Linked DNA regions of Alligator mississippiensis. The protein of the gene in region 1 binds, or shares a complex with, the protein of each later gene. Links are inferred from orthologs where the notes say so. Each region holds a gene or a part of one and is shown in the gene's direction. Other genes may lie near its edges.

The links.
Region 2: FBXL13 (region 1) and GAS8 share a complex: the UniProt entries of both Homo sapiens proteins name them as parts of the nexin-dynein regulatory complex. The link is inferred for Alligator mississippiensis from reciprocal best matches to the Homo sapiens genes FBXL13 and DRC4.
Region 3: FBXL13 (region 1) and DRC1 share a complex: the UniProt entries of both Homo sapiens proteins name them as parts of the nexin-dynein regulatory complex. The link is inferred for Alligator mississippiensis from reciprocal best matches to the Homo sapiens genes FBXL13 and DRC1.
Region 4: FBXL13 (region 1) and IQCG share a complex: the UniProt entries of both Homo sapiens proteins name them as parts of the nexin-dynein regulatory complex. The link is inferred for Alligator mississippiensis from reciprocal best matches to the Homo sapiens genes FBXL13 and DRC9.

Annotation. Positions count from the first base shown.
Region 1 is NC_081827.1:24,344,827-24,352,272, reverse strand, and holds the start of FBXL13 (F-box and leucine-rich repeat protein 13), read left to right. Parts: upstream 1-4,432; 5' UTR 4,433-4,480; coding exon 4,481-4,555; intron 4,556-7,446. Other genes in the region: ARMC10 (armadillo repeat-containing protein 10), read right to left, coding at 424-583. UniProt on the Homo sapiens protein: Substrate-recognition component of the SCF (SKP1-CUL1-F-box protein)-type E3 ubiquitin ligase complex.
Region 2 is NC_081833.1:76,095,960-76,103,897, forward strand, and holds the start of GAS8 (dynein regulatory complex subunit 4), read left to right. Parts: upstream 1-4,933; 5' UTR 4,934-4,988; coding exon 4,989-4,991; intron 4,992-6,053; coding exon 6,054-6,146; intron 6,147-6,251; coding exon 6,252-6,449; intron 6,450-6,563; coding exon 6,564-6,770; intron 6,771-7,735; coding exon 7,736-7,790; intron 7,791-7,938. Other genes in the region: DBNDD1 (dysbindin domain-containing protein 1), read right to left, coding at 119-256, 408-563, 3,202-3,232. UniProt on the Homo sapiens protein: Component of the nexin-dynein regulatory complex (N-DRC), a key regulator of ciliary/flagellar motility which maintains the alignment and integrity of the distal axoneme and regulates microtubule sliding in motile axonemes.
Region 3 is NC_081828.1:76,329,193-76,337,163, forward strand, and holds the start of DRC1 (dynein regulatory complex protein 1), read left to right. Parts: upstream 1-4,962; 5' UTR 4,963-4,996; coding exon 4,997-5,145; intron 5,146-5,773; coding exon 5,774-5,861; intron 5,862-6,637; coding exon 6,638-6,750; intron 6,751-7,971. Other genes in the region: olfactory receptor 2F1, read left to right, coding at 2,192-3,136. UniProt on the Homo sapiens protein: Component of the nexin-dynein regulatory complex (N-DRC) a key regulator of ciliary/flagellar motility which maintains the alignment and integrity of the distal axoneme and regulates microtubule sliding in motile axonemes.
Region 4 is NC_081830.1:85,493,325-85,500,642, forward strand, and holds the start of IQCG (dynein regulatory complex protein 9), read left to right. Parts: upstream 1-4,312; 5' UTR 4,313-4,379; coding exon 4,380-4,414; intron 4,415-7,318. Other genes in the region: RPL35A (large ribosomal subunit protein eL33), read right to left, coding at 13-165, 3,985-3,995. UniProt on the Homo sapiens protein: Component of the nexin-dynein regulatory complex (N-DRC), a key regulator of ciliary/flagellar motility which maintains the alignment and integrity of the distal axoneme and regulates microtubule sliding in motile axonemes.

The DNA of each region.
Region 1 (7,446 bases):
CCCCCCCTTTTATGTTTTTAAACACAAATACATAATAGGGGCCGAGCAGGACCCAAGACAAGGCCCCTTGAGCACATGAAATGGTTAGAAAGGAATCTAGTCACTTTCAAAAAAAGTATATTCAAACCCATTGCCAAGGGTCTTAAAAAACCAGTGGGTTACAGGACAGATGTACAGCAGTACGTATAGAGAGGCAAACAGCTCTTTGCTCGGAGACAGACAAATCGAAGTGACTCCGGATTCAGTCGCTGCGCTGGAGCCTGCGCTCCGGGATCGTCCCGGCAGAGAAGAGGCGCGGAGCTTCCATGCACCAAACGCCGCGTGCCCGGAACCGGAGCTGGGCTGCGGGAAAAGCCTGGAGCCGGAGCGGCGCCCGCCTGCCCGCCCGCCCCTGCCACCCCCCCGGCCCGGGCCGGGCCTCACCCGAGCGCCGCTCGCACGCACCGCCCCGGCCGGAGGTGCCCCTGGGGGCCGCGGCCGCCCCGCCGCTCCTGGCTAGCCGGGCCAGGCCATAGCAGGCGCCGGCTCCGAGCACCAGCGCCGCCAGCCCCGCGCGCCAGCCCAGCGCGCCGCTCTCCCCCATGCGCGGCCGCGGGAGCCGATCGGCCCCGGCCCGGCCCGACCCCGGGACACGTGCGGCGCCGCCGGAAACCGAGCCCGGGCGCCGCCTCCCCGGCCCGCGCGGGAGGGCTTTGCTATTCCGGGGCCTGTGAGCGGCACCAAGGGGCTGTGTTCAAGCAGCCGCTGCCGTGTTAGAGATCCCGTGCGCGGGGCAGCCCCCCGGCCGGCCGCCCTGGGCTCTGAAGTGCTGCAAAGAGCAACCGGGGTCTCCACCAGAGGCAGCTGAACGCCAGCACCGCCCCCGCCGAACGGGGACTCCGTGAAGCCCCCCTGTGCTCCCAGCAAGCTGCGGTGGTCTCAAGTTGCAGCAAGGGAAGCTGGAGCTAGATATTAGGAGAAACTTTCTCACTAGGAGGATAGTAAAACACTGGGACAGGTTATCCAGGCAAGTTGGCCACTCCCCCTCCTTGGAGGTTTTTAAGACCAGGGTGAACAAAGCCTTGGCTGGGATGGTGTAGTTGGGGCTGGTCCTGCTTGGAGCAGGGGTCGGACTAGATGTGACCCCCTGAGGTCTCTTCCTACCCTCATTTTCTATGATTCTGTGACACAAAATAATGGCTATTTTGATAAAAAAAAGATTTTGTGAAAGTAATCAGCTCCTGTCATTCCTTATGCCAGTTCCCTGCCCCTGTTTATCCCTGACATCTGTCAGCAGAGGGAGGTCCTTGCCTGTGCTTACCTTGAATGCACCGGGCTGCAGCCCCTCCACCACCTCCTCACGGCACTCCTCCTGAGGCTTTACCTGCACATCTCTCTGCACCTTTCACGCGCTCCCTGCCTGGGGCCTTCTGGTCAATCTTCTGGCTCCTTCCTGGGCTGGTAGATGGCCAAACTTGCCATCTACCAGCCCAGGAGGAGATTCTGGCCAGGAGGAATCCAAGCACTGGAGCCATTTTCCTGTCACTCTGCACATCTCTGGGCAGAGTTTCACTGACTGGCATCCACAGTCTCCTTGGAATCGTTCAAGGGGCAATGGGCACTGGCAGGAGTTCTTTGCTTGGTGTCTCCACTCAATTCCCTTCATATGAAACTGACCATCCCAGTCACACCCATTCTAATTTTTGTTGTTCCAAGTACTCAATTGTTATGTATCTAGTGGCCTCCCCAACTGAGGGATGCTCATAGCTCTTTTAGCTGGCCTAGGTGCACTGTTCTCTATGTACATAAAAATAGGCCGCTACCTCTGCTTAGCACAAATGCTTCACTATTTTCTGCAGACAAGCTTCTTTGGGCAAAGGTGATATCTTTTATTAGACCAACTAAATCATTGGAAAAATTGTTCTTTACAAGCTTTCGGGCCCAAACCCTCTTCTTTAGGCATAGGGAGAGTCTGCTGTTTGTGTGCTCTCCAGGGTGGAATAGAAGCTTGAGCCAATATGCAGGACTATGAAAATGCAAATCTGTGGTAGCAAAGATCAAAGGGGATGCCAGTTCATAGGTGCAAGACAGGTGGGGAGGGGGAGGGGTGTGTGGAAAGGAGGAATGTTAACTTGGGGACAGAATGTAGCTGATAAAAATGTAGAGAGGTTACCTGGAGTTATCAGATGGCAGGCAGGTTATATATATATGACTTAGTCCATGATTTTTTGTATCCAGTAGATTTATGAAGTGAAGTTCCTAGGCTCATCTATGAAAGGTGTTCTACAAATTCCCTTTGAGGATTAGAACTGAGAAATTGGAGAAAAAGTGGTTGTCTTTTGAGAAAAGTGACCCCACAGGTAACTGGGTATTTCTGTCTTTGATAGATTTTCGGTGTGCGTTGATTCTGGTACACAGTTGTTGTTTGGTCTCTCCTACGTATTTTCATCAGGGCAGTCAGTGCATTGGATGAGATGTTTTATGTTTCTGGAGGTGCAGGGGTAAGATCCAGGAATGGTGATGGTTCTGTTGTGGGGTGTAGTTATTGTGGGAGGGCTGGAGATGCATTGGCAGGTTTTACATTTCTTGTCTAGGCATGGTCTGGATCCATTTGGTGTGCTTTGGGCCATAGACGTTTGCTTCAGGTGATGAGGTTGGTGAGGTTCGATGTCTGTTTAAAGGCTAGGATGGGTGGTTCTGGAAATATCTTTTTAAGAGTTGGGTCTTCTTCTGGTATGGGTTGCAATTGTTAGAGGATTTTCCATATCCCCATCCATGGAAGGATGGTATGCAGGGGCAACATGTAGGGGGTGCATGCGGGTGCATGTGCACCCCCTGTGCATGGTGGTGCACCCCCAGGTGATCCATGATCACCCCTGGCCACTGCCAACACTGCCGGCGGTGCCTGTGGGTGGTCATCAACCCATGGCTGGCACTCGCCACCCCCTTCCCCCCGACAGTGCTGGTGGCATCAGTGGGAGCTCCCTGCTCACCGCCGCCACACTCCCACATCTGCCAGCGCAGCTGTACCCCTTCAGCCACCAGGGGCACACACTGTTCATGTTGGTATGTCATAACTAACGGTGTGTGGCTATATGCAACTATAACCAACACCCCTGAAACATGGAAAATATCACTATTTTTTTACACAAAACCCATGACATCCAACAGCTAACAGGGAGCAAGAAGAGGGAGGAGGTAAACACACTGTTTATTTTACGGATTTCCTCCCCTTCCTCCTGTATTTAATTGTTGTACCCTTACATAAATACCTAGCAAAACAGTGGGCAAGAAAGATGCAAGAGAAGAGAGTTTTAATAAGTGAAGTGGCTAGATGCATGCTTTTAAAGGAATCTAGTTCTTTTGGAAAATATGTATATAAACACACAGTCAAGGGACTTTAAAAAATCTCTTAAGGACACATTTACAATATGCTAAAGATACAGATCGTAAATCTTTCTCTTGACTTATAATCACAGTGACGTGTTAAAGTACTCTGATTTTTTTTCAGGTGGGTTTTACTGATGACATTTTTAAAAGTGTTGGAGAAAGTGGCACGATCTACATCTGTGAACTCTTCATGTGCAGTCCAACCATCTCCTCATTAGGTTGTAAACACTGTGGGACCATCTTTTTGTGTTGCATTTGTACAGTGCCCAGCATAGTCAGGTTCTGGTCAGTCAGCAGGACTCCTAGATGCAAAAATAGATAAATTAAAAAAAATTACAATGAAATCAATATTATATTAATTTCTCAAAGTAGGGCTTATTAATAACAACATCTACTTCCATACGGTAACAGGGCAGGCAACGGTTTGTCACAAGCATATTGCAATCAGATCAAAAACATTCCACGAGCAGTTGCTTGTTTGTTTGTTTTGTGCTTGTCCATTTTGTGAAAAATAAGGAAAATAAATAATTTAAAAAAGTATATAGCATATGAACAAATCAGATCCTACCCCTTTGCATTATGGATGGTGCTTAGCAAGTATTAGTGAATCCTCCCTGTATCCCTATTAGCTTGACAGTCCGTCTCCATTTTACAGATGGGAAAACAGAGACATTAGACTTTATGGCCAGATCCTGAGGAGGTCAACAAATACATCCTCCCGTGAGCAAAGGTCGCCCAAGGTCACAGGAGTCCAGGACGGAGCCCAGAGGAGGCTCCCGCTTTCTTTCCTTCTCAGCGTTTGTGAAAGGCTGCAGCACCCACGTCTCCGGGCACCCAGGCCCCGCCCGCTCCTGCACGTCATCCCTTCTGCCCAGGGGCCACCAGAGATGGGCGGTTTGCCACGCGACTCCGCTGTGCCCGCGGGGCAATCGCCGCCGGCTCCCCTCGCTCAGGGGACGCAGGCGGCGAAGGGAGGGAGCGGCGCGCGCACAGCCCCGGGGGGCGGGGCCCGAGGGACAGGGCGGGGCGGGCGGGGGCTGCAGCGTGCGGCGGGGCGCGTTGCCGGGCAACGGGCGGCCGCGGTGAGGGCCCGGCCCGGCCCGACCCGGCCATGTCGTCCCTGCGCGGCGCCGACCCCGCGCTCCGCGGGTACTTCCAGCGCCACGGGCTGCCCGACGTCTACGAGGTACGGCCCGGCGGGGGTACCCCGCTCCAGGGCGGGGGTGGCCCCGGCCCGGCCCGGCCCGGCCCGGCCCGGCCCCTGTCTCCGCCTCAGCGAGTCCAGGGGCCTCTGCCCGGGCCGGGAGTCCTGCCTTGCTCACACGCAAGCGCTGGCCTGGCCTGGGGCGGCAGAGGCCAACCCCCGAGCATCCCCGCCGGGCCCGGGGTGTCACGCTCACCTGTCTGCGCGGGGGGCGCGAGCAGGAGTCGCCACCTCTCGTACAGTTGCAGCCGCGTATTTAGTAGATGTCCCAGACATTAGGGCCAGAAGGGACTTTGCGACATTGTCGGGCCCAACCCCCCGCCTAAAGGGCGGGAAGTCAGCTGGTGTCACCCCGCTGCCAAATTTTTGGCGAGCGGGATGACAGGATGCTGCCGGCCCGCGCCTCGGACATCCCTGCACTAAGCCCCATTGGTAGTCAAGCTGTGCCCGAGGGTGAGCAGTGCCGGCCCCTATACAACCCTGACTTGAAACTTGCTATAAAACTGCCGTCAACCTGGACACAAGACCTTGCATCCTACCTTGCCTGAAGTAAAGCAGGGGGACCACGGCAGCCAGCATCCTGCTTCTGTCAGGCTGAGTACAGACTTCTGTGGAGGTTAAATCGGGTTCAAAATGGCCACCCGATTTAACCTGGGCTCGTCCCGGTGCCGGCCTGGTGACTGGCAATCAGCGTGAACTGAGACTGCACACAAACCAGTCTAACAACTGCAGAGCCTGGTTTACGATAAGCCTGGATCTACGTAGTATCAAACTTGTTCGATTTAGGTCAAACCAGCGCATGGAACTTGTGTACGCTTTCCCTGCACGGCCCGGGCCTGCGGGCCCCCAGCCCTGGGGCTCCTCTTTTCACACCCCTCCCCCCCTGCACTTGCACTGGGCTATTTTTTGTCCTCCTGGCCCCTTGTTTCCCACCTCACCCACTAGCCATTCCTTTCAACCCCCATCCCACAGCCGCGCCAGGTATAGCTGCTTTTAGCAGTGTTTCCTGCTTTCAGAGCCAAGCAAGTAAGTCTTGGTGTGGGGGGAGGGGATGAAGGGTTGGAGGTGTAGGTTCGCTGGGGGGAATCAGGGGACTAAAAGCCCAATCCCCCTAAATCCCCCTATGAACCCCGCTGGGCAGTAGGGAGGACTGAAATTGGCCGTCAGCGGCGTCTGTGGGCTGTCGCTGCTCACCAACTGCTGCCGGCTTCTGTGGGCAGTTGTTGCTCATCAATCGCTCCCCCTCACCACCACTGCCGCCAGCAGCATCTGCAACTGGTCCCCACTCGATGCTCGCCATCCCCCTTCCGCCGACACTGCCGCTGGCATCTGCGGGCACTCCCTGCTTGCCGCTTGCTGCCGACTACAAATGGTTCCCCCCCAGTTTCAGGAGGCACCAGTCGTTCATGGACCCCACAACCTCCCTGATCTCTCCAGACACTTCCGGACCCTAGCAAAACCCTGTGGCTTGTGCCTGACTGCTCCCTACCCACGAGTCATGCCCTGGCCTCTCACCCCTTGAGGGTTGCACCTGTCCCCTCCACCTCACCTGCAGCTTGTGCCTGCCCCCTCCACCCCTCATGGGTTTCACCTCCCCCCCATTCCCCAGTGGACTCCTGATCCTCCTGAACCCCCGTTGGCCCCCCATCCTGACTTACCCGATATCAGGCAGTCATTTTGAACTGATTTAACTTCCCCGAACGTCTGTACTTAGCCTAAAAGATTGTTACTGGACACTCAAAAGATACCAGGAAGAGGCCCTACCTCCCCTGCCGCCACTAGAGGAAGGTAAAACTTCCCACAGTTGGTACCAAGGTGTCTATGGGTTAAAATTCCTTCCTGACCCCAATTATGGTGATTAACCTGACCCTGAGTACAAAACAGAGAAGATTGCAGCCTCCTTTGTCTTAAATGGTAGAAAAGTTGTTTTTGGAAACTTCAGGTGGAAGACTATAGCGTGCAGGGTAGCAGAGCACTCTCCTCAAGTTGCAGTACTGCATGTTGTAATTGCCATATGGCCAATAATTATATCAAATAATTATAATATCAATAATTATATCAAAGATGACTATGGCAAATTTTAGAATATGCTAGGCCATATGTTGGTCACCCACAGTGTCAAAAGGGGTTTGAAGACTTGTTAAACTGCTGAGCTAGTGAGTAGAATTGCATGCCATAGTGCTAAGGAGCATAGGGGAGACATGGCTTACTTGAAGTCACAAGTGTTCCAGGGATAATAAAATAAATACACACTTTTGGCTTTTGGATTGTTATCTGATCCTCCCATCCTTTCTCTTCTCTCAGCCAGTTTTTTCCTTTTGAAGTTCAGTTGAAACTATGCAGAAGTCGTATATCAGTTTCCTTAATAGTAACAAATTAGGACACTGTGTACAAATAAACTGCCAAAAATAGACCCAACTTGTAGCCAGTTATTGCAGCCTGGATTTCCATGGGAACATTAATAAAGAGGTTTTAAACCAGTAAAAATAACTGTAGAGCAGCACCTCCCTCAACAGTGGTAAAGCATCAGGGGTGCACGTACACCCCCTGGGAGCGCTGGTGCACCCCCTGACTGACTGCGCTCCACACTTAGGCAATGGGCAGGGTGGGCACCGGTGCCCCACCCATGAGCGCTGGCCAGAGAGTGAGCGCACTGGGTGTAGTGCTGCGGTCGCTTCCAGGAGCACCATGGCCGCTTCCCGGTGGATGAGTTCTGCTGCGGGGGGACTGCCCCCACCCCCCAGTCAGCAAGATTGGCCATGCGAGGACCCCTTCCCCCGGTTGCTGACTGGTTGCTGGTGGGGGCACGTGCCCCCCGTGATTAAGGTGACACCAATCTCCCATGTCCCCCAGTCCTCCTAAGCTTTACTTGG
Region 2 (7,938 bases), on another chromosome or scaffold:
GGATGTCTGAGCGGGTGCATGTAAGAGTCTTGTCTGTATGAGTGGACGTGCACTCGTGTGTGTGTGTGTGTGTGTACACATGTGCGGTCAGCCCCACTCCCAGCCCAGGCACGCTCACCACCAGGGGACTCGGCGACGTTCTCGTCGTCGGAGTCGGCAAAGACCTCAGCGAGCTCCTGGTCTGACATGTCCGTCAGCTCGGTCAGGTCCAGCAGGTCGAAGTGCACCTCCAGCGAGGACACGCTGCTCAGCGGCTCTGCGAAGGGTGCCCGGCTCAGATACAGGGCCAGCGTGACCCCCAGCACCCCCCACCCAGGCTCCCACAGCTGGGGGCCGGCACCAGGGCATGCAGGAGCCCCTCTTCCTTTTGGGCGGGGAGGGGCCTGACCGGGGCGTCTCATACTCACGTCTCCTCTCAGCCACCTGCAGCAGGCCCGAGCTGGGGATGGGGATGCCACCCTGCTCCTCGGCCGGGAGTTCCTCGCCTGGCCCAGGGGCTGGCACAGGCACCGGGATGGGGACGGCGGCCACTCGCTCTGGGGCTGGAGCCTCCCTAACAAGTTCTGCAAGAGCAAGCCCTGCTGCGTTAAAGCTGAGGCTGCGTCCGGGGGGCTACGTGGCAGGACCTCCTTGTCCGTCAAGCCCTGGTAGCAGCAGAGCCGGACTCCCCCTGGCTCCTCTGCCCAGGGCTGACCCAGCCCTGCTGAGAAGAGCCCTGAGCTCTGGGCAGGGGGCCTGGGGGAGCTCCCAGCAGCTGCCCCTGCTCCGCTCCAGCCCCAGCGCTTGGAGCAGCTGCCCCCTCCCCATGACAGCTTCTACCCTGGCCCCTTGTCACCCGCAGCGCCCTCCGTGAAAGCCAGGGATGCTCCAGGGCGAGGGTCCTGGTCACAGCTGCCGGCAGTGGGGCCGAGGCAGGCAGGGACCGTCTGTCTGCACCGGGGGCTGGGACTGGTGGGGCTCTGTAGCAGGCGGGGGAGCGAGCCCCCAGGCTGAGAGCAGCAGTGTCACCGAGGGACCCCTGGGGCAGGCCCAGGTGTGGCAGACAGGCCGGTGGGGGGATGCAGACGGGTACCAGGGCCCAGTGCTCATGGTGGGGACCCTGAGGCCACCGTGCCAGCCGCCAGCCATCCCCGCTGCTGGGCCTTTGTCCCCGCAGACAAAAGCGGAGCCTGTGCTGGGAGGCCGGGGACAAGGGGCGGCTTGTCTACGAGCATGGGAGATCGGGGGGCGCTGGGGCCAAGCCGGCTACGGCGTTGATGCTGCCCCCCACTCCCAGCCCCGCACACGGCTGCATGGGGCAGGGGGTCTCGCCGTGTGGCCGCAAAGGGGTGTGTGCAGTTGTGCACAGCCGGCGTGGCTCGGGAGGGGGAGGGGAGCGGAATATTTTTAGCAGCCCAGACGATGAATAATTCACAGCCCGGCTGCCGTTGCGGGCAGCTCCACGCGCAGCCGCCGGCGGCAGCGCAGACCCAACACCGGGGGCGGTTGGGTGCTCCCTGGCAGCGTGGCCTGGCCCGCGGGCCGCGGCCCTTGGCTCTCCAGGGGCATGCAGGGGAGCCAGTCCCGCCAGGTGCCAGCCTGGGCCTCTCCAGCACTGGCACCGTCGGGGTCTCAAGGGTCCAGCATCCTGGGCACGGACAAGGGCTGTAAGGCTGGGTTGTTACAGCTCCCTAAGGCATCTTTCAGCGTTCACGGTTTTATTCATGGGAAATCCTGATCCAGTTCTGGCTGCCGGCGCCTGGGAGCTTGGGGTCGGGGCCAGGCCGGCGCCAACACTGGACTCCTCATGTTTCTTTAACTCAAACACCTGAGCCGGAGAAAAACTGTCCGGGCAGCAAGCTCCCCACCTCTCCCGCGGGGGCCGCCCGATCCCTCCTGCTCTGCCACAGCCCCTGGCACCCCTGGGTGAGACGGGCTGGGCTGGGTCAGGCTCATGCCCACCAAGGCAACCTTTCAGGCCTTCCCTGACCATCTGCTCGCATGCTCTGTCCTGTTCTCTCGGGGCAGGACAGCAGTCCCCCAGGAGCAGCTGCCGGCCTGAGTGTGCCAGGAGGGCGATGGGGCACATGGGCAGGCCAGGAAATCCCGCTAGAGGCAAGGGGGAGCCTGGGGCAGGCACAGTGCAGTGGGTGCAGGGCAAGGAGAGGATTGACCCCCTCACTGGTGGCAGGGGGTCAAGTCTGGCTCCTGCTGGCTGGGATGCAGCCCCCTCCCCAGTCACTGGCTCAGAGCTCCTGGCAGGGGTGGGAGATGCGGACTTGGGGAGCAGACCTGGGAGCAAACGCTGCTGTGAGAGCCACAGCCATGGGGCCCCCTTCCCGCCGCCCGCTGTGCCCCAGCCCCTTGTGGCACAGTGTCCCCTGCTCTCCTGCCCCGGCCGGAGGAGCGGGGCGGGGATCTCTGCTGTCTCCTCTTTGCTGACTCACGTTCACCTGCAGTCGAGGGCAGAGGAGGGACCTGCGGTGGGACCGGACCGCCCGCCCCGCTGCCCACGCCCTTGCCTGGCTCTGCTGGGCCCCACTCCCCTACAGCCCCTCCTTGGCACCACGGCACGCCTGGGGGCCCCAACCCAGCAACACGCCCCTGCACCAGTGCAAGCAGCCTCCGGCCCAGGATGCGCCCCCCCCCCCCCACACACACAGCAGGGGGGCACCTGCCCACAGCACCCACCCCTGCCCTGCCCACAGGCACCCCCACCATGATGCCCCACACTGCCCCAGCTTGTAACCCACAGCCCGGGGGGACACCCTCCCCCCAGCATGCCCGCCTGCCTGCACACACCCCCCAGGGTGTTCTGCTCACACACCCACCACCAGGATACCCCCTGCTCACACACACCTCTGCACCCCTGTGTAACACCCCCCTCCACACACGTATCTGCACCCCTGTGCAACACACACACACACACACACACCAGGACAGTGCAACGCCACGTCCACACCCCACACGCATGCACGCAGAAGACCACACACACACGTCCACACCCCCTCGGGTGCCCCCTGATCACACCCCCCCGCACGCCCCCTGCCCCCGGATCCCCCTCTACACCCCGCACACCCAGCCAGCCCCTGGGACACCTCCGCACCCCGCCCCCGGCCGCCCCCCATACACGGGCCGGGCGCGGTGCGGTGCGGTGCGGTGCGGTGCGGGCAGCCCGGGGACGCCGCAACTTTCCTTGCTGGGGGGCGGCCCCGCACTCACCTGGGGGAGCGGCCCCGCCGCGCGGCTCCATGCGGCCGGGTGCGGGACCGGGCTGCGCTCCGCGCTCAGCAGCCCGCAGCGGCCCGCCCCGCCCCGCCCGGCCGGGGCCCCGGAGCGCGCAGCCCCGCATCGCCCGGCCAGCCCCGCCTCGCCAATGGGGGGGGTGCGGGCGGGCGGGGCGCGGGGCGGGCTGTGGGGAGGAGACAGGCGCCCGCCCCCCGCCCCGCATGCATGCCTCCTGCCCCCCCGCATGCATGTACCCCGCCCACCCCGCATGCATGCACCCTGCCCCCCGCCCCGCAAGCATACACCCCGGCCCCGCATGCATGCACCCCCGGGCACCGGTGCGGGCTGGGGGTTCCCTGCAAACAAAGCCGGCAGCCCAGCCAGACCCGGCGCGGGTGGTCCTAAGCCGGCCCCGCGCCCCCAGCCTCCTCGGGAGCCCGGGGTCCTCGGCGGGGTGGTGGGGGGAGGTAGGCCACCTGCTCCCCTCCCTTCCCCAGAGGCCCGATCCCCGGAGAGAAGGGCTCTGCCCGGCCGTGCTGGCACCAGGCAGTGAAGGGGTTAAGCCCCCCCTTGGGGTGCGGTCTCCAGGCCAAGGTCAAGGTGCTGGAGGATGGAGGCTGCAGGTGCTCCAGATGCAGGTGCCATGACAACAGGGCGCCATGGAAACGCCCAGCTCCCAGGGGACCCCAGCTCGGCGCTGCAGCTGCCAGGCTGCTCCCCAGCCATGCCAGGGCAGGAGTCCCTGGGAGCCTGCTTGCACCTGCCTGTGCGGGGCTCGGGGCCCAGATGGGGCGCCTTCTCAGGGGCCGGGGGCATGGCACACGGGGGCAGCACCGGGCAAAGGGGCATTTGCTGCTGACTGCAGCATGGGCATCAGGGCACTGCCGTGCTGCATCCGGGTGTGCAGCCCAGATGTGGGCTGTGGTTACCCTGAGCTCGGTGCTGGGCCCTGCAGGGCGTGAGACCAGCGCTCCTCTAGCAACCAGTCTGCATTTGTGCCCGCTGCCCTGGTGCGGAGCAGGCTGCGGGAGTCCAGCCGCCCCGCCAGCCCTGGGGCAGCGTCCCAAAGCCCATGCAACGCTGTCAGGGCAGCCTGGGCCGCCTCGCACAGGGCAGGAGGGCAGCCTAGGGCCCTGCATCGCAGGCGAAGCACGGGCTCCAGGGCCCCTGGATGTTACTGACTGGGCCCTTGCCCACCCCGCAGAGCTCCAGGCTGCTCCTTGCCCCTAGGGCCCTGACTGCCATCGCGGTGCAAGTGTCGGGCCTCTGGCAGGGCCTCAGCAGCGCCGGGGAGAGGCTGCAAGCTGAGCCCGGCCTGCGCTCCGCTCCGCTCCGCTCCTGGGGCTACGGGCAGCCTGATCCGGCCCAGGCGGCTCCTGCTGCTCCCTGCTCGGCTGCCCCGGCTGCCCTCTGCCCCCAGCTCCGTGCCCAGCGTCCTCTCTGCCCCGTGCTGGGGAGCCCAGCCAGCCACGTCCCTGCACCCCCAGCTCCCTCGGGCCTGTGTCCTGAGCTGGGGGGCCCATCCAGCCACACCCCTGCACCCTTACACCCCTACGGCCCGTGCCCCGTGCCAGGGGGCCCCATCCAGCCACATCCCTGCACCCCGAGACCTGGGGCGCTGCCCGGGCTCGGGCGGCGGGGCGGGGCGCGGGCGGCTGGTTGCTAGGGCGGTTGCCAGGCCCCGGCGGCGGTTGCCAGGGCCGCGCGCGGGTTGCTAGGGGCCCGCGGCTCTCTCTCGCGAGGCCGCCGCGGCGGTTGTCGGGACCGGGGGGGCCGCAGCTATGGTAGGGCCCGGCCCGGCCCGGCCGGCGGGCATGCAGCTCCGGGGCGCGGGCAGCCTGGCTGCAGGGGCCCCGGGGGCGGCTGAGTGTAGGGGGCTCCCGGCTGCGGGGAGCCTGCTGGGAGCGGGGGGCCTGGGTGCAGGCTGCGGGGCTTCTGGGGGGGCTCCCGGGTGCAGGCTGGTTGCAGGGGGCCTGGGTGCAGGGGAGGGGGGGCTCCTAGCTGGAGGTAGGAGGGCTTCTGGGGGAGGGGGCTTCCAGGTGCAAGCAGGGGGGTCTCCTGGGTGCAACAGGGCTGGGTGCAAGCTGGGGGTGGGGGGTTTCTGCGGGGCCTCCCGAATGCAAGCTGGGGGGTCTCCTGGGTGCAATCTGGGGGGCCCCTGGGTGCAAGCTGGGGGTGGGGGGTTTCTGCGGGGCCTCCCAGGTGCAAGCTGGGGGGTCTCCTGGGTGCAACGGGGCTGGGTACAAGCTGGGGGTGGGGAGTTTCTGCGGGGCCTCCCGAGTGCAAGCTGGGGGGGTCTCCTGGGTGCAACAGGGCTGGGTGCAAGCTGGGGGTGGGGGGTTTCTGCGGGGCCTCCCGAGTGCAAGCTGGGGGGTCTCCTAGGTGCAATCTGGGGGGCCCCTGGGTGCAAGCTGGGGGTGGGGGGTTTCTGCGGGGCCTCCCAGGTGCAAGCTGGGGGGTCTCCTGGGTGCAACGGGGCTGGGTGCAAGCTGGGGGTGGGGGGTTTCTGCGGGGCCTCCCGAGTGCAAGCTGGGGGGCCCCTGGGTGCTGGGTCAGGCTCGTCCCTGTCCCCAGGGCTGTGTGCTGGGCACAGCTCCAATACAACGGGGCTGCAGCTGCAGCAACATCCCCCCCAACCCTAACCCTAATACCCGCTGGCCCCTGGGACCGCGCAGGGCGGGGAGAGGCAGTCGGGGCCCCTCAGCTCTGCCCAGCAAAGGACCCCCGGCAGGGAGACACCCGCCGACATCTGCAGTCAGGACCCACCCCCCATCTACCGACTCGCAGAGACTTGAGCGCTGCTGCCTCCCCCGTGCACGCGGCTCAGCCCTGCGCGTTGTTCCCAGGCGCCCAAAAAGAAAGGCGGCAAGAAGGGCAAGGGGGGGAAGGCGGCGGCCGTGGTGGACGGCATGGCGCCCGAGGACATGAGCAAGGAGCAGGTGAGCTCCCTCCCCGCGTGCCCCGGGCCAGCCGGCAGCAAAGGGTGCTGACGAGCCTGGATACCGCTGCCCCCCCTGATGCCTCTTCCTGCCTGGGCCCCGCAGCTGGAGGAGCACATTGTGCGGCTGCGGGAGGAGCTGGACCGCGAGCGCGAGGAGCGCAACTACTTCCAGCTGGAGCGCGACAAGATCCACACCTTCTGGGACATCACGCGGCGGCAGCTGGATGAGAAGAAGGCCGAGCTGCGCAACAAGGACCGCGAGATGGAGGAGGCCGAGGAGCGGCACCAGGTGGAGATCAAGGTGAGTGGGACCTGGGGTGGGTGTTAGGGCTGCAGCGCCCGCTTGACTTGGGCATGTCCCCAGGTGCCCCCTGCTCCCAGCCTGTCCGGGGACTGACCCACCCGCCGCCCCCAGGTGTACAAGCAGAAGGTGAAGCACCTGCTGTACGAGCACCAGAACAACCTGACGGAGCTGCGGACCGAGGGCACTGTGTCCATGAAGCTGGCGCAGAAGGACCACCGGGCCCAGGAGCTGGAGCTGCGCCGGGACATGCGCTCCCTGAAGGTGGAGCTGAAGGAGCAGGAGCTGGCCAACGAGGTGGTGGTGAAAGGCCTGCGCATGGTATGTGGTGCCTAGCGGGGTGGGGAGAGGCCGAGCTCTGGGCTGCACGGTGTGGGGTGGATACCAGGATACCAACGATTAGCCCAGCCAAGGCTTTGTCTACCCAGCTCTTATAAACCTCCAAGGATGGAGAGTCCATCACCTCTCTGGGTACCCCGTTCCAGTGTTTTACTACCCTCCTAGTGAGAGTTTCCCTTAATATCCAACCTCAACTTCCCTTGCTGCAGCTGGAGCCCATTGCTCCTTGTCCTGTATCTGCCCCCACTGAGACCAGCCCAGCTCTGTCCTCTTTGCAGCCCCCCTGCAGGGAGGTGAAGGCTGCTATGAAGTCTTCCCTCCGTCTTCTCTTCTCCAGACTAAATCAGCCCAGTTCCCTCAGCCTCTCCTCACCAGTCCTGTCCCCCAGCCCCACAGCTATTTTCATTGCCCTCCACTGAACCCTCTCCAATTTGTCCACATCCTTTCTGTAGTGGGGGGCCCAAAACTGGCCCCTTCTTCATTCTGGGGCAGATGCGGTGGGTTTACCACTGCAGAGTCAGGTTCCAGGAACAGGCTGATGCATCAGCAGCCCCCTGTGCCAGCTCATGCAGCATGGGGAATCCAGCCCTTGCCACTGATGCTGAGGGGTGTAGAGGCAGCTGGCACGACCAGGGCCTGGCAGGTCCCATGCTCGCAGTCCCAGGGCTGCTCTGGGATGCAGGTGCACTGAGGCTGAACTGTTGAGGCCATGCCAGGCGAGAGCTGGAGACCTCCAGTCCCTGGTGGAAAGCAATAGGGCTGTGCAGCATCTAAGGAGGGAGCATCGGGCGTGGGGGACAGGGGGCATTGGGCAGGCACTGGGTGCCATGTATCCCAGGCACCCGCAAATGGTGCCTCCAGGGGAGGAGGGTGTGGGGGCTGCCTGGGGCAGCCAAGCTCCCTCTGTGCCCAGGGGCCTGATCTGACGTGCCACCTGCCCCCGGCAGAAGCAGGAGGAAGAGATCACACGCCTGCGCTGTGACTTCGAGAGACAAGTGAAAGGTCAGGCGGGCACAGCCCGTGCCCCTCACACTCGGCGCACAGCCCCTGGCTGGCTGCAGGCCCTTCCCCTCCCTCCCCTCCCTCCCAGCTGTAGGGCTGAGACCTGCTTGGTGCTGCCTCCCTGCCAGGAGCAGCTGGAGGGTGGGGG
Region 3 (7,971 bases), on another chromosome or scaffold:
CTTGCAAAGCTAGTTTTTAGTTGTTTTCATTTGTGTAGCTCTATAAATAATAACAAGCTGTGCCCCTCCACCACCTACCAACAATAACAAAACCACATACAAGTGGCAAACTATGTAGAGAGCAGCCAGCCCTGGGGGAGGAGGTGCCTCCAGCCAGGAGCCCTGGGGTTGGGCTCCGACCCGCCCCTGAGTGGCTGTGCAGACCAAGACTAAATTCCCTGTGTTAATGTGGAGTAACATGTCTACAAATGTGTTAATCTGCATTAACTAATCCTGCTTAAATTTGATACTTGGTTTGGGCAGGTATCAAATTTAGGCTCACATAGCATTAAAGGCACACACATGTAGACATGCACCCCTAATGCAGCTTAAATTGGCCTAATCTGCATTAAATGACCATATGTAGACATGCCCAATAATATCTAACATACAACCTTAAATTTCACTCAGGGCACATTTACACATGCATTTGATCTGGGCTCAGTTTAGTCAGGAGTAAATGTCTTCACATGAAATGCTCTGGGGCAGGACTAGGCAGCAGGTTTGCTGCTTTTAGGACCAAATTTGATGCAGCCCTGCAATAAGCCATTGCCGTCACCAGGAGAGCTCTCAGCTCTCCCTGGGTGCTGGTGCAAGGACTGCAAGGGAGCACCCAGCCAGGAGAGGGAGCACCCAGGACTGCGAGGGAGCACCCAGCCTTGGCCTGGATTGGGATGTTACACCCTCCATTACACCCTGCCCCTGGAGGGGGCTGCAGACTTCTGGAGTAGGAACAATATCCCCCTGCCTCACCAGCAGGCAGCTCCTGGCCCTGGCTCCCTGATCAGGGGCAGGGGACTTGGAAAGAGCTGCAGGGGAGGGTTAGGTCCCAGCCCCCTGCCTTGATCCACCAGTGGGGCAGCTAGCAGCTAGCTTGCTACTAGCTGCCCCAAGATGGGGGCAGGGGGCTGGGACCTAACCCATCCCTGCAACAAATTCCAAGCCCTGTGCACCCAGTTGGGGCATGGGGCTGGGACCTGCCCCTGACCAGGACAGTTCCCAGCTCCTGCTCTGCACACTGGGCAGAGGCTGGGGAGTTTGTTCACTGCCCAGCTGTGTGAGTATGGAGCTGGGGACCAGGCTGGGGGGCTTGTTCCATGCCTAGCTCCGTGAGCGTGGAGCAGGGCAGCAAACAGCCTTCCCAGCCCCCACCAGCAGGGAGCTCCCAGCACCAGCTCTGCATTGGAGATCTCCCAACACCAGCCCCATGGTTGCGTAGTTGGCACTGGGAGATAAAGTTCTTCTAGGCCCCTGCTTCCTGATCACCACCTTGGAGCAGGAGGGCTTGGAGCACCCTGCTGCCAGGTAATGAGGGCATAGCATAGTCCCCTCCCAGGCTCCTATGGCAGAGCCTGCCCCAGCAGTAGGCAGCATCTGGGGTCAGGGAGCAATCTGCCACCCCCTGGTGGACAGCTGGCTGGGAGTACATTTGCTCCCAGTCAGGTGTCTACATGAATGCTACTATGCTGTTACTAATCTTGAGTAAATTTGTGACTTGCATTTGCAGGTAGCAAATTTACTCCGTATTAGGGAGGTTTACTACATAGTAAACATGCACATGCTTGCTTACTTCACAGTAAATTATGCTACTGCACAGTTAAGCATCTCGTGTAGACACACCCTCAATGATCATTTTCTGAGTCTTATTGACTTCTGTATATCATTTTTTAGATTAAATCAATAATAGAGGTATGTGAATACAATTCCACACACTAGTAAAAAAATGTATTACGTTAAAATATTATATATTGCTGAATCATAACACTGGAATAAATTATATACAGATTAAGTGAGATGTTTCATTGATCCCCTGAAAAACTATATTTTAGTTTCAAGTGCATTCTTCATTATTTTTTTTCAGGTAAAGCTGAATGAAATTTGAAAATAAAAACAATGTTTTGAATTTAAAAATACAATAGTAAATATTTTTTTTAATTCTGAGAAGCGAACATGAATTTGTAACTTGTTTCAATGTCATTGAATCATCATTTTTTACTGGACAAAGAAAAGTCTGCTCCCACATGAGAGTCTGACATTGACAGGGTTTGGGTCTGTTCTCATGGTCCTAGTTCAGTAGCTTATGACAGTTTATTCAAAACCATGACATCATTGACCATATCCCTGCACTCACAGGTTAAACCATACCAATAAGATGGAGTCAGAAAACCAAACTTCTGTGACTGAGTTTATCATCCTGGGCCTCTCCAGCCATCGGGGCACTCAGCTCTGGCTTTTTGCACTCCTTTTAGGTATGTATGTCATCACTCTTGTGGGAAACATTGTTATCATTGTTACCATCCGGATAGACCCATGTCTTGATACTCCCATGTACTTCTTCCTTGGAAACCTGTCCTTCTTGGATATCTGCTACACATCCAGTGTGGTCCCCCAGATGCTGGTCCACTTCCTGGCCCAGCACAAAGCCATCTCTTTCAGCAGGTGCACAGCCCAACTCTATGTCTCCCTGTCACTAGGGAGCATTGAGTTTATCCTCCTGGCTGTTATGGCATATGATCGCTATGTGGCCATTTGCAACCCCCTCCATTACACTGTCACCATGAGCAGGAGGGTTTGTATCCAGCTGGCAGTGGCTTCATGGGCCAGTGGCTTTCTCAACTCCTTGGTGCAAACCACCTTTACCATGCGGCTGCCCTTCTGTGGCTTCAATATCATCAACCACTTTGCCTGTGAAGCTGTGGCACTCATCAAGATAGCCTGCTCTAACACCTATGTTAACGAGATCATTCTCATGATGGCCAGTGTCCTGATCCTCATCATCCCCTGCTCCTTCATCATCCTGTCCTACATCTACATCATTTCATCCATCCTGCGTATTTGCTCCTCAGAGGGCAGGTACAAGACCTTCTCCACTTGTACCTCCCACATCACTGTTGTGATGCTGTGCTATGGGACAGCCATCTTTGCCTACATGAGGCCCCGGGCCAGTGTGTCACCCAATCAAGACAAGATGTTTTCATTATTCTATGCTGTGGTCACTCCCATGCTGAATCCTGTCATATACAGCCTAAGGAATAAGGAAGTGAAGGAGGCCCTAGCCAAAGCCATGGGAAGTGGGCTGTCTTCTGAAAAAAGATAGATATTTCTGTCTCCTTCTAGATATTTTTCCTCTATAGTCATCAAGGAAGACAAAGGGAAGATGACATTCATGGAATATGACACTGGAGAATGATTATCATTAATAAATAGGCCCATTTACACACAGATGCAATTGTGGAACTGTCTGTCCAGAACTAAACTGAGTGTCCATAGAATTGAAAGGAAAAGTGTAAAATATCATTATATTGCAATTAAGTGTTGCTTCTCTACAAGCTCTTTTTGTAAACTCTGAGAAACACACCAGAATATATATTATCCTTTTACAAAACCCTCCTCACCTGTCTTGGTCTCCTTTTATTTACTGCAGGTAATTATATGGCTTTTCATATTTTCTAACAGATCTGGTCACCCATTTCCTCAGTTGCGTGCTCTAACCCAGGGATTGTCAACTGGGGGTATGCGTACCCCTGGGGGTACTTAGACCGGTCCTAGGGGGTATGCATGGGTGGCTGGGGACGGAGCACCGCCGCCTCCCAGGAGTGAGGACAGTGATGTCCCTCTGTGGGGTGGGGAAGCTCGCATGTGTTGGCCACCACTGCTACACACCAGCCTGGTGAGCTTCCCCACACTGCAGAGGGGCACCACCGCCCTCACCCCAGCCTAATGAGCTTCCCCGCCCTGCCCTGGCCCTGCTCCTGGGGGGTGGTGGTGGTACTCTGTCCCTGCCCGCCTACACAGTGTCCCCACCTCCATGCTCCGTGTCCAGCTGCGTACTCCCCCTCTACCCTCTGGTGTTCGGCCGTGCGCTGCCCCCCTCCTGTCCCCCTACTTGGCATCCGGCCACCGTGGGTACTTAGACTAAAAAAGGTTGAAAACCCCTTCCCTGATGAATGCCAGCTGCAGGGAGCACGGCTGGGAGCTAGGTGCCAACTCAGTGCTGCATGGGTGAATCCCCTGTCCCCCGGGCTCTGCACTGAGGCGGGTGCTCCCTTTGCATCCCCTGCACCCTGCCCTGGCACTGGGTGCAGATGACGCAGAATCTGGGTTTATGCATTTTTCCCAGCTCCACAGCCGCTGCTCCCTTTTGTGTCACCAGCAAAGGGCCAGGGGCTGGAGGAGGAGACAGCGGACAACAGAGAGAACAGGACAAGGGGCTTTCAGGAGCAGGGTCTGTTGGATGAAAGGGAGATGGATGGCATGCAGAGACAACTGTGGGTGCAGGGCCTGGAGGCGGTAGTGGTGGGAGGGGGGCCGGATGCAAAGCCAGCTTGGCTCCATATCGCCCAGGGCGGTCACCAAGATTTGCCCCCCCTAGGGAAGGCCCTGATGGCATAAGAACAGTGCGGAGGCCCCTGGGACCCCAGGCAATGTGTGGGGAGAGAAAAGGGAAGAGAGGGGAGGACGGAAGGAGAATATGGCCTGAGCAGGGCCTAGAGCATGTCTGAGTCTAGTTTCCTACTTGGGTGAAACAGCATCGACACACCTACAGGGTCTCTCTGCCCTCGTGGCCCGAAGATCCCCAGCAAGGGCGCGTGCACAGAAGTGACACGAGGGGCGAATGAAAAAGGCGTCATGCTCCACGTGGAGAGGCAGCAAGAATCACAGCGGGGTGCGGGGCTACATGTCCCAGGCAGCTGTGGGGAGCGGGGCAGGGGCATGGTGGCCACAGCAGGGGCAAGGGCAGGAGGTCGGGGCACGCGGAGGCTGGATCCACAGATCTCAGAGCCGGGTTCCCGAGGTGTCCTCGGGAGGCGGGAGGAAGAGGCCGCGGCAACCCAGCAGGAGGCGCGGGGCGGGGGCGGGGCTGTTCGGACACCCACTACCCCGCGCGCCGGGTCCTGCGCGTGCGCCGTTGCGCAGCGCCGCGGTTGCCTGGCAACGGGCGCGCAGGGCGGCGGCCATGAGCCGGGCCGAGGCATCGGCCGAGGCTGAGCCGCAGCAGGTCGCGAAGCCGTCGAGGCGCGCCCCGTCCGTGGGTGCCGGGGATGCCGAGGAGCGGGTCGCGGCACGGCGCCTCCGCATCGCGGCCCGGCAGGAGGCCAAGCGCCGGTGCGGGCGGGGGGCACCATCCGGGGAACGAGCCCCGCCCCCCCCGCCGAGACCTGGCCCCTCCCGCCGCAGCACCCGCCAGTGCCATGGGCGGGGGGCTGATGCCAGGGCTCCCCGACTGCGCTGCCCCCTCCCCCCCTCTACTGCCTTGGGCCCCCAAGACCCAGTGCCAGAAGGCAAAGGGGCCCCAGTCCATGCTGGATGGCAGTGGTCCAGGCTGGGCGGGCCTTGGCCCAGGGGTGGGAGTGTTGTGAGAGTGCTGACAGTCTTTCAGATCAGCAGTCCTGAAAACAGGCAGCGCGGGTGTCCCAGCAGACCGGCCTGCACAAGACCAACCTTCTTTCCTGCATGGGGTCGAAGGAGCAGGTGTCGCTGCGGACAAGCTGGGGAGCCGTCCGCAGAACAATCCACGCGGGCTGCCTTGGTTGGAGACTCCAACCAGACACGAGTGTATTCTGTAACCCCCCCCCCCCCAAGACCCCCTTTGGGTTGGTCTCCCACCCACATACTGAGATGTTTCAATCTTGTGGATTCATGGGCTTACAGGAGGCAAGGTGACTCAATAAGAGATCTGGCAGGGACAAGGAGATGATGTGTTATTAAAGCTTATGTCTCTACCCCCCACCAGGGAGGCCCTGGGAGAAGACCCAGATGCAAAGAAGGCTGAAGAAGAGGAGCAGAGCAGGAGCCATAAGCAGATTGAAGAGAGCAGACAGGTTAGGAGTAGGCTTTGCGGCCAGGGAAATGGGGTTGACAAGTCCATTAAGGACCATTGCTCCATGTACATGTGGCTTTGCAGTCCTGTTAACATAGCCTGACAGCTCAGGGTCAGCCAGTGGATATGTTCTGAAGGAGCACGGTTGCACACAGGTACTTGCTATGACCACCAGAGACTGATTCTTGAAATACTTTATAGGGAATTTCATTGTAACAAGCTTCTGTGCTACAGAAGATATCCGTGGGCCAGACCAAGCCTCTTTGCAGTCTGGATCTTCCCTGAAGGCTATAGATTGCTGACTTCTGTTCTAAAACATCTGATATTTTCTAACCTACTTGACTTCCTGAACTTCCTTGACTTCCTCCTGTTTCCAGCTGTGCAAACAGGGAGCCAACATGCAATATCTTGAGCTTTCAAGTACAGATCAGACCACGCTGTGTCCTGACCTCACAGCAAAGGAATGGTGAAGCTAGAGCCTGCAAGAGAGAGCTGAGAGTGGAGCTGTACTGCAAGAGCTGCATGTGGTTTGGGTGTGTTCAGTCTTTTCCTGAAAATAAACCAGTGTGATGCCATGATGATAAACTATGGTTGGGTGTGTGAATCCCTGCCAGGTGACATCCCAGATTCATACTTTTATTTAAGCACCTCAATATAAGCATAGGAACCAGCCTGTAGGGCAGGCAGATGTGGAAGTGCTGGCCATGGAGCCTTCCAAAGCATGTAATTCAGTCCATTTGGCCTCATGGTTGTTACGTCCCTTTCCTGTCCTTGCAGAGGCTGGCAAAGCTGCTCCTTGATGGCATGCAGCTAGTAACGAACATCCAGGTGGCTGCCGATGCCAGGGAGACACAGAGGAGGACTGAGGAGGCTGAGCTGAAGCGGCAGAGGTGAGAGTTTGTGTAGGTATGACAGGTGTTGGCTTTGGCATTCCCTGACACGGACATCTCAGAGCAAGGCAACCCGGTCTCTGATCAGTGGGAACTATGTTGGAGACTCCCAGGCATTGGAAAAATGCCCTTAATTGACCTAAAAGTAGAATGACCCCGGTTTGCCTGGGACAGTCCCAGATTTTGGAGGCTGGTCCTGGCCGGCTGGTGAAAATTAAAATGAGCATCCCTAGTGTGGGGCATGGGGGGAAAAGCTGCAGGAGCTGTGAAATAGGAAGCCTTAGTAGATAGCAAAATTGCCATAGAATAGGTTATTCTGATTAGTGGAATGACCATCAATGCTGACCTTGTGAAGGAACAGCTTGAGAGGCTGGATACCTTCAGGTCAGCCGGCCCTGACAATTTACACCCCAGAGTACTCAAGGAGCTGGCTAGCATCATAGCTCAGCCTCTGGCACAGATCTTCAAGAGCTTCTGGCGCGCTGGTGAAGTGCCCGATGATTGGAAGGAAGCCAGTGTAGTGCCTATCTTCAAAAAAGTGAGGAAAATGGATCCGGCAAACTACAAGGCCCATCAGCCTGACCTCTATCCTGGGGAAGGTCTTAGAAAAAATCATCAAGGAGGCCATTTTTAATGGACTGGCCGATGGCAACACCCTGAGGGACAGCCAGCACGGGTTTGTTGCGGGTAGGTCGTGCTTGACCAGTATCATTTCCTTTTATGACCAGGTGACCTATCACCTGGACAAGGGGGACGAGATTGATGTCATATATCTCGACTTTAAAAAAGCCTTTGATCTGGTATCCCATGATCACCTTTTGGCAAAACTGGCCAACTGCAGCCTCGGGTCTACCATGATCCGCTGGCTAGGGAATTGACTCTATGGTCAGACCCAGAGGGTGGTGGTTGATGGAAGTCAATCGTCATGGTACCCTGTGACCGGTGGGGTCCCTCAAGGCTCTGTCCTTGGACCTATTTTGTTCAACCTCTTCATTAATGATGTGGACATTGGAGTCAGAAGCGGACTGGCCAAGTTCGCCAATGATACCAAACTTTGGGGTAAAGCATGCACACCTGAGGACGGGGGTAATCCAGGCTGACCTTGACAGGCTCAGTAAATGAGTGGACGAGAACCTGATGGTGTTTAACACTGAAAAATGCAAGGTTCTCCACCTTGGGAGGAAAAACCTGCAGCATGTCTATAGGCTCGGCAGTGCTACA
Region 4 (7,318 bases), on another chromosome or scaffold:
TAATTTACTTACTTTTTAGCTTTGTACACATACGCGCATCTCTTGCCCAAGTAGAATTCAGTCTCTTGGCGAGCGTAAACGCCTTCAATTTTCAGAAGGGCCGTGTGCTCCCTCTGGTTTCGAAGGCCTCGCTTATAGCCAGCAAAAATGGCCTTGGACCACAGTCTAAGAAACAGCAAGTATGTTAATGAACTGAAAACCAACAGCAAGCAACCTGGATTTCTGAATAAGCTATTTCTGAAGGGACTACATGCATGCTGGGATCAAGAAATAGTGCTTTATTCACAAGGAAGTAAATATACTAGCATTCGCAATTAGGGGTGAATAAGGAAGCTTCCACAACAGGAGACATTTATAAACAGCTCTACTTCTCTCCATTAGAAACCTCCTTTTTTCCTCCAATGATTATCACTAAAAAGATGATAACGTTAAGAAGCAATTTGCTTTTTTTTAAAGTTCTTTATACACACACATTTCAAATGTCTAGAAAATAGATTCTATCACTTCATTGCATACATGATAATGCAGATTAATTGATTTTGGATCTTTGCTACAGTAACCAACTCTGTAATAAGAGATGTAACAAAAAAGTGCTGTACTGAAATGATTTTTTGCAGTTTCTATGGGGAAATGCAAGCCTGTTCCATGTGGACAGTGCAGGACTCCAGCATAATTCAGGACACTTGAAACCAATAGCTAAGAGTCCTAGAACTGTGCTTAATTGTATCGGAACAAATATTGTATAAAGCTTTCTTAGCATGGGTAATATTATAAGGTAAATCCTTTTGGACAACAGATTTAAAATGTCACCAGTATTTTCACAAGACAGTTTGTTCAAGATTTAAATCTGTAACTAACAGGGTAGATCTGATTTAAATCAAATGGATTTAAATAATGATTTAAATCACTGGCCAGGAAGCCTCAGTTTAATCACTGATTTCTACAAGAAGTGCACTGTTGTTGTTTGATATCCTTTATTCATTTAACTTCTTGAAACTTTCCATTTTTAGGGAGAGGTAAGGGCTTGACTGTGCATACCCGAACTAGCAGAGAGACAACAGGGCTGATGGGTGAGTAATCAGTAGTGGCGCGCGGATATATCTGTCTGTATTGGATCAGCACCGATAAAAGGAAAATTGACATTATTGGCAATCAGCTTTTTTTGGCTGGTGTAGCCAATAACATCATTGATAAATTCCACATGCATGTGCACAGCTGCACCATGCACACAGCCAGGAATGCAGCCCCGCAGCTTGGAGAGCAATGTCCTGCTGGTAAGTCTGTGTGGGGGGCAGATTGAGGCCCCCATAGTGAGAGAGAGACTGGGGTAGGTGATACCCAGCTGGGTTGAAGCATGGGACAGAGCTGTGGGTGGCTCTACAGGGGGGCATGGGAGGATGGGCAGCTCCCCACTGCTGCACACACCCTGGGGGAGGAAAGCGGGGTATGAGGCCCCCACTGGATTTGTGCACGGGGTGAGGGCGAGCTGCCTGTTGTGGGCTCAGGGGCTGTACCAGCCTCTTCCTGGGCATGGGGGGACGGGGGACACGACGACTATGGCCACCCCAAAAATTCACCATAGACCCCCACTCCCAGAACTGCCACTACCCACCTCAAGAGCAGCCCTGGCCCAGCACTCCCACCAAGAGGCCAACACAGGCCCCAGCCCCAAAGCAGGCAGCCCGCCCTTGCTCTGTGCACAAATCCAGGGAGCACATGCCCACCCTGCCTCCCCCGAGGGTGCACACCAGCAGCAGGGAGCCACCCATCCTCTGCTGGGCCACCCACAGCTCTGTCCTGTGTCCTGCCCTGGCTGGGCAATGCCTGTCCCATTCCCTCCCTCACCATGGGGGCTTTGAATTACACCCCCTCCACCAACAGACTTACCAGCTGGACGCTGCCAGGCTGCATATCAGCACTCAGAGCGGTATCAGCTGATATGGCCTTTGGTATTGACCAAATATTCCCATTAGTGGTACACTCCTAATAAAAGATATTGCATCTTCCCAAAGAACCGTGTCTGCCTGTGAACTCTGGAGAGACAAATTCACAGTCTGAGAACTGAAATGAAGCATCACAGAGACGTTTAATGGGATCTTCTGGACTGAGCGCTGAGTCGCACTGAGTAGAGTGGTTTTCTTTAATCTTTACTAATCTATAGATAAAGAAACCTCTTGGAACCCCATAAGATTGGGCCCCTAATATAGGCCACGGCTTGTTGTGACCTATTTATAAAACTTCTAAAAAGGTTGCACAAATACACAGGGTGTTTATATAAAGTCCTTGTGTAACTTTATAAACATGAATAACTTTGGATGTGCACGACAGAAGCAACCCAAAACGACATGCTTACACCACGCTAAAAACTTAATTATGGTTTCAATTGCTATTTACAGTTTGCTATAACAGACAAAGTTATTCAAGTTTAAAGTTGCACAAGAACTTTATAAACACCTGTATATTCATGTAACTTTTGCAGAAGCTTTATAATGCATCACAACAGGCTGGGGCCTATACTATGGGCCCAATCACTGGATCATAGACAGACACAGGAGGGACGCCAGACCACCTACTGTTAGCGCAGACTTAGTGAAGGGGCACTTAGAGGGGCTGGATGTGTTCAAATCAATGGGCCCAGATGATTTTCACTCAAGGGTGATGAGGGAATTGGCCTGTGTCATGGCAGAGCTGCTGGCACGGCTGTTCGAGCACTTGTGGTGCTCCGGTCACGTCCCAGAGGACTGGAAAAGGGCAATGTGGTCCCTATTTTCAAGAAGGGGAGGAAGGAGGAACAGGGAAACTAGGCCAGTTCGTCTCACCTCCATCCTTGGGAAAACTCTGGAAAAAATAACATTAAGGACCACATTTGTGGGAGCCCAGCAGGGGAATAATGCTGAAAGGAAACCAGCACCGGTTCACTGCCCAATTAACCTGGTTTCTTTTTATGACCAGGTCACAAAATGCATAGACGCAGGAGCTGAGGTAGATGTCATCTACCTAGACTTTAGGAAGGCCTTTGATACGGTATCTCGTTCTGTTCTGGTAAATAAACTGAGTGGCAGCGATGTAGATAATTGCACGGTCAGGTGGGTGACAGATTGGCTTATGGGGTCGCACCCAGACAGTGGTGGTGGACGGGTCGGTATCGACCTGGAAAGATGTGGGCAGCGGGGTCCTGCAAGGCTTGGTCCTTGCACCGGTGCTGTTCACGTCTTCATCGGTGACTGGGACGAGGGCGTGGAGAGCACCCTGTCCAAGTTCATAGCCAAATTATGAAGCAAAATGAACGCACCAGAGGGTAAGAAACAGATCCAGGCGGATCTGGACAGGTTGGAAAAACGGGCAGAACGAAACAGGACGCAGCTCAACAAAGACAAGCGCATCCGTGAATCCTACGTTGCTCTTACGCAGCTCCCAGAGCTGAAAGTTATTGAAATCGCACCCGGACTTTAGAAACACTCGTGTAACCTTTTTACAGGTTTGATAAATACGTCAGGACAGGCCGGGGACTATAACGGGGCCCAATTTTATGGGGCTCCTCTACAGACAAAAGTTATTAAAACTCAGAAACACCCCGTGTCCTCGTGCGACATCTTTACACGCTCAGGAAATGCGTCAGGACAGGCTGCGGACTGTATCTGAGGCCCAATCTCGAGGCTCGTCTACAGATTAAAGTCACCCGAGCTGCACTGGGAGTTTAGACGTGCCCGCATCATCTCTAGGAGTTTATAATTAGATATCACAATAATTATGAATAATAATAATTCCTATTCCACGATATTTTGGAGCTTTTACAGATCTTCAACGAAAACGATCTTTATAGCAAATGAAAGCATCTTAGCCATAAAAAAGTGATTAAATTTTAAACCAAAATATCTTATTTCAGTGAACACCCCGTTGGTTCCCCCCCCGGTAACCGGCGCGGTGCAGCCGCCTGGGCCCCGCGAGTGGCTCCGGGCCGCGCGGCTCGGGCAGGGCTCTCACCTCCCGGACATGGCGGCGCGGCGCTGGTCCCGGCGGCCTGCAACCAGAGACGTGGTGTGAGCACCGCGGAGCCGGCTCCGCACCATCCGCCGCGCATCGGCGCCATCCCGCGGCCCCCGCCCCCGGCCCCCCGCAGCCCGCGGCCCGCCCGGCTCGCCCGCCGCCCCCCGGCACCCCTCGCTCCGCGCCCGCGGCCCGCGCCGCGCCGCCGCGCTCCCCTCACCCTGCCGCTCCGCTCCAAGATGGCGGCGAAAGAGGAGGCCGCGGCGCGCGGCACGCCGGGATAGCCGCGCGCAGGGCCCCTGAGGCGTCCGCGTCGCGCCTGACGGGGCCGCGCGCAGAGCAGGCGGCACCGGGGCAGCCTCTGAGAAGGACCCCGGAGCGTCGGCGTCGCCATGGAGACCGGGCCGCTGCCGCCGGCCGCCGCCGCGTGAGTGTCGCTGTGGTGATTGCCGCCTCCTTGTGCGGGGGGGTCCTCGGGGGGGGGCTTGTCGTCAGCAACCGTGTCACTGCCGCGGTCGTCCGCAGCGCGACAGTGATGCCGGTGTCCATGACAACCACTAACGGCTGCCATTCATGATTAGCATCTGGTCGGACGCTGTCAGTTAGTGGCAGTTGCTGTCGTCATCGCCATTACCGCCACGGTCCTGGCTGCTGCCCTCCAGTCTTGTCCTTAGTACCATCCGTTTCCACTGGTTTCACCACTGGCGTTGTTTCGAGGTCGAAACAGCAAAATCGAAACGGAACAGATATGGTCGAAACAGCCTCGAAACGGAAACGAAACGTGTTGCCGTTTCGATGCCGTTTCGCCCAGAGGAGATAATGGGGAAGGTCAAAACAGCCTATAACTTTGTCGTTTCTGGCCAGATTGGGATAAAACTTGCACAAGTGGTAGTCCCTTCTGAGGGCGTGATGCGTGCCACGTTTCCAGAAGATCGGTGCGGGGGGTTCGGAGAAACGGCACCCCAAATTCTTGAGAGCCAAGCTTGTGTCGTGTGTATGTGTTAAGCCGCGGCAGGCGACAGCTGCAGGGAGGGTGGCCCCTGCTGCGGACACGACGCCTGCTGGCTGTCGAGGAGACCAGTGCGGGGGAACTGCACCCCAGCTGCTGACTGGGAAACCTTGTGCCGTGCTAGGAGTAATGGTCGCAGTCGGGACACCCTAGTTGTGAGGTAGTTTTTCCTAATGTTGAGCCTGAAACGAGTCTGAATCGATCTCCCAGGAGTTTGTGACCATTGCTCCTAGTTTTCCCCTGTCTCTAGTGGGTTATGGAATAGAGAAAATCCCACACAATTTACTGATTCGTTTTGATGCACTGGCTGGGGCACGATTTTACAATGATTACACACTTAATTCATACAACACAATTTTATTTTAAAATTCTTTGCGACGCATATAACACTGCTTAGCTTAGAAATACCACAAACATTAAGAACACAATAATTACATATATCAGAAACAATGCTCCGAATGCACTTCCTTCCCAAACAATGCTGTAAGAATTAGTATTACAAAAACAACTACAATTACAACTAAAAGTTAAATTTGAATCAATACTGTTATTTTCAAAATATACTTACAATCCTAGAATTCCGAGAAGCCAAACACCTAAATACAGTTTCATTCCTCAGTAGTACAATTTAATGGGTTGGCCTCAGTCGTACGGTTCAATGGGCTCGCCTCAGTAGTACGATTCAATGGGCTGGCCTCAATACTGATAGGACTAAGTCCCCTGCCTTCAGTCCCTTTTGGGCGCTCTGCCCAAAGGGGAGTACATCTAGGGCTCGGTGAACAACTGTTCACCAGGGCACCCTTGGGGATGTCATATTGAATGAAATAGTTTGAATGTTTGTAATGGTTGCCCATTAGCCAGTTTCAGGAAGAAGATAAGATTTATCTCCTTATCTAGCTCATTGATCAGACTGATCACCTGAACCACCCCCTCTGTGAACACGAATCTTTTAGTTCACGCTGAAGCTGCAGAGCGCTGACTTCGTTAGGCTTTCCGAAGCGGTTCGGAAAAGCTTCAGAGCCGTTTTGGAGATCCAGCCATAGGGTATAATGGGGAATCATCCCTGCAGCTTTCACCCCGCTGCGCCTTAACACACACAGGGTCACCCATGTCATGAGTTTTGCCTGTCAGCAGTCAGAGGTGCAGGGCCCCAGAAGCCAGACTCCCCCTGCACCGATCTCCTTGACAGCTGGCAGGCTTCGTGGCCTCACTAGGGGCCACGACCCCTGCAGTTTTCAGCCCGCTGCACCTTAACACACACAGGGTCATCTGTGTCACGAGTTTTGCTTGTCCGCAGCTTGAGGTGCAGTTCCCTCCCCAAACCCCTGCACCTATCACCTTGAAACTTGGCAGGCTTTGTGGCCTCACCAAGGGCTACCATCCGGCAGTTTTGACTCCACTGTGGCTCAACGCATACACGACATGAGTTTTGCTTTCAGGAATTTGGGGTGCAGTTCCCCCTGAACCCCTGCACTGATCTTCTTGAAACATGGCAGGATTTGCTGCCTCACCAGGGGCTAGCATCCCTGCAGCTTTGACCCCACTGTGTCTTAACGCATACACGTGGCGTGCGTTTTGCTCTCAAGATTTTGGCGTGCAGTTTCTCCAAACCCCCTACACCTATCTCCTTGAAACTTGGCACGCATCATGCCCTCAGAAGCAGCTACCATTTCTGCAAGTTTCATCCAAATCTGGCCAGAAATGACAAAGTTATAGTCTGTTTCGACCTTCCCCATTATATCCTATGGGTGAAACATCGAAACAGGGTTGAAACGGCAAAACGTTTTGACAGAATGAAACGGAACAGCCGTTTCAACTTGAAACAAAAGTCAAAATGAAACACTGTTCTGTCGAAACGTTGAAACGCTGATCAAAACGAAACGCTTCTGTTTCACACAGCTCTAATTTCCAATATTGTTATTATTAGTGATGATCATAATTGTGATCACTGTTACTATCCTTTTTGCTAGCATCCATTATTGTAATTATTACAATCAATTACAACTTATTTCCAATATATTATTAACAATTATCTATTATAATCATGATCGCTTGCTTTCCATATTGCTACCATCAAGTATTGTAATTATTATACTAAAGTCCAGCTTATTTCCAGTATTATTATTATCAATGATCTATTATCGTAATCATGACCACTGTTACTATCCTTATTGCTGCCATCCATTATTGTAATTATTATAATCAATTTTGACTTATTTCCAATATTATTGTTATCTATTATCGCAATCATGATCACTATTACTATCCCTATTGCTACCATCTGTTATTGTAATTCATTATTATAATCAATCACTACTTATT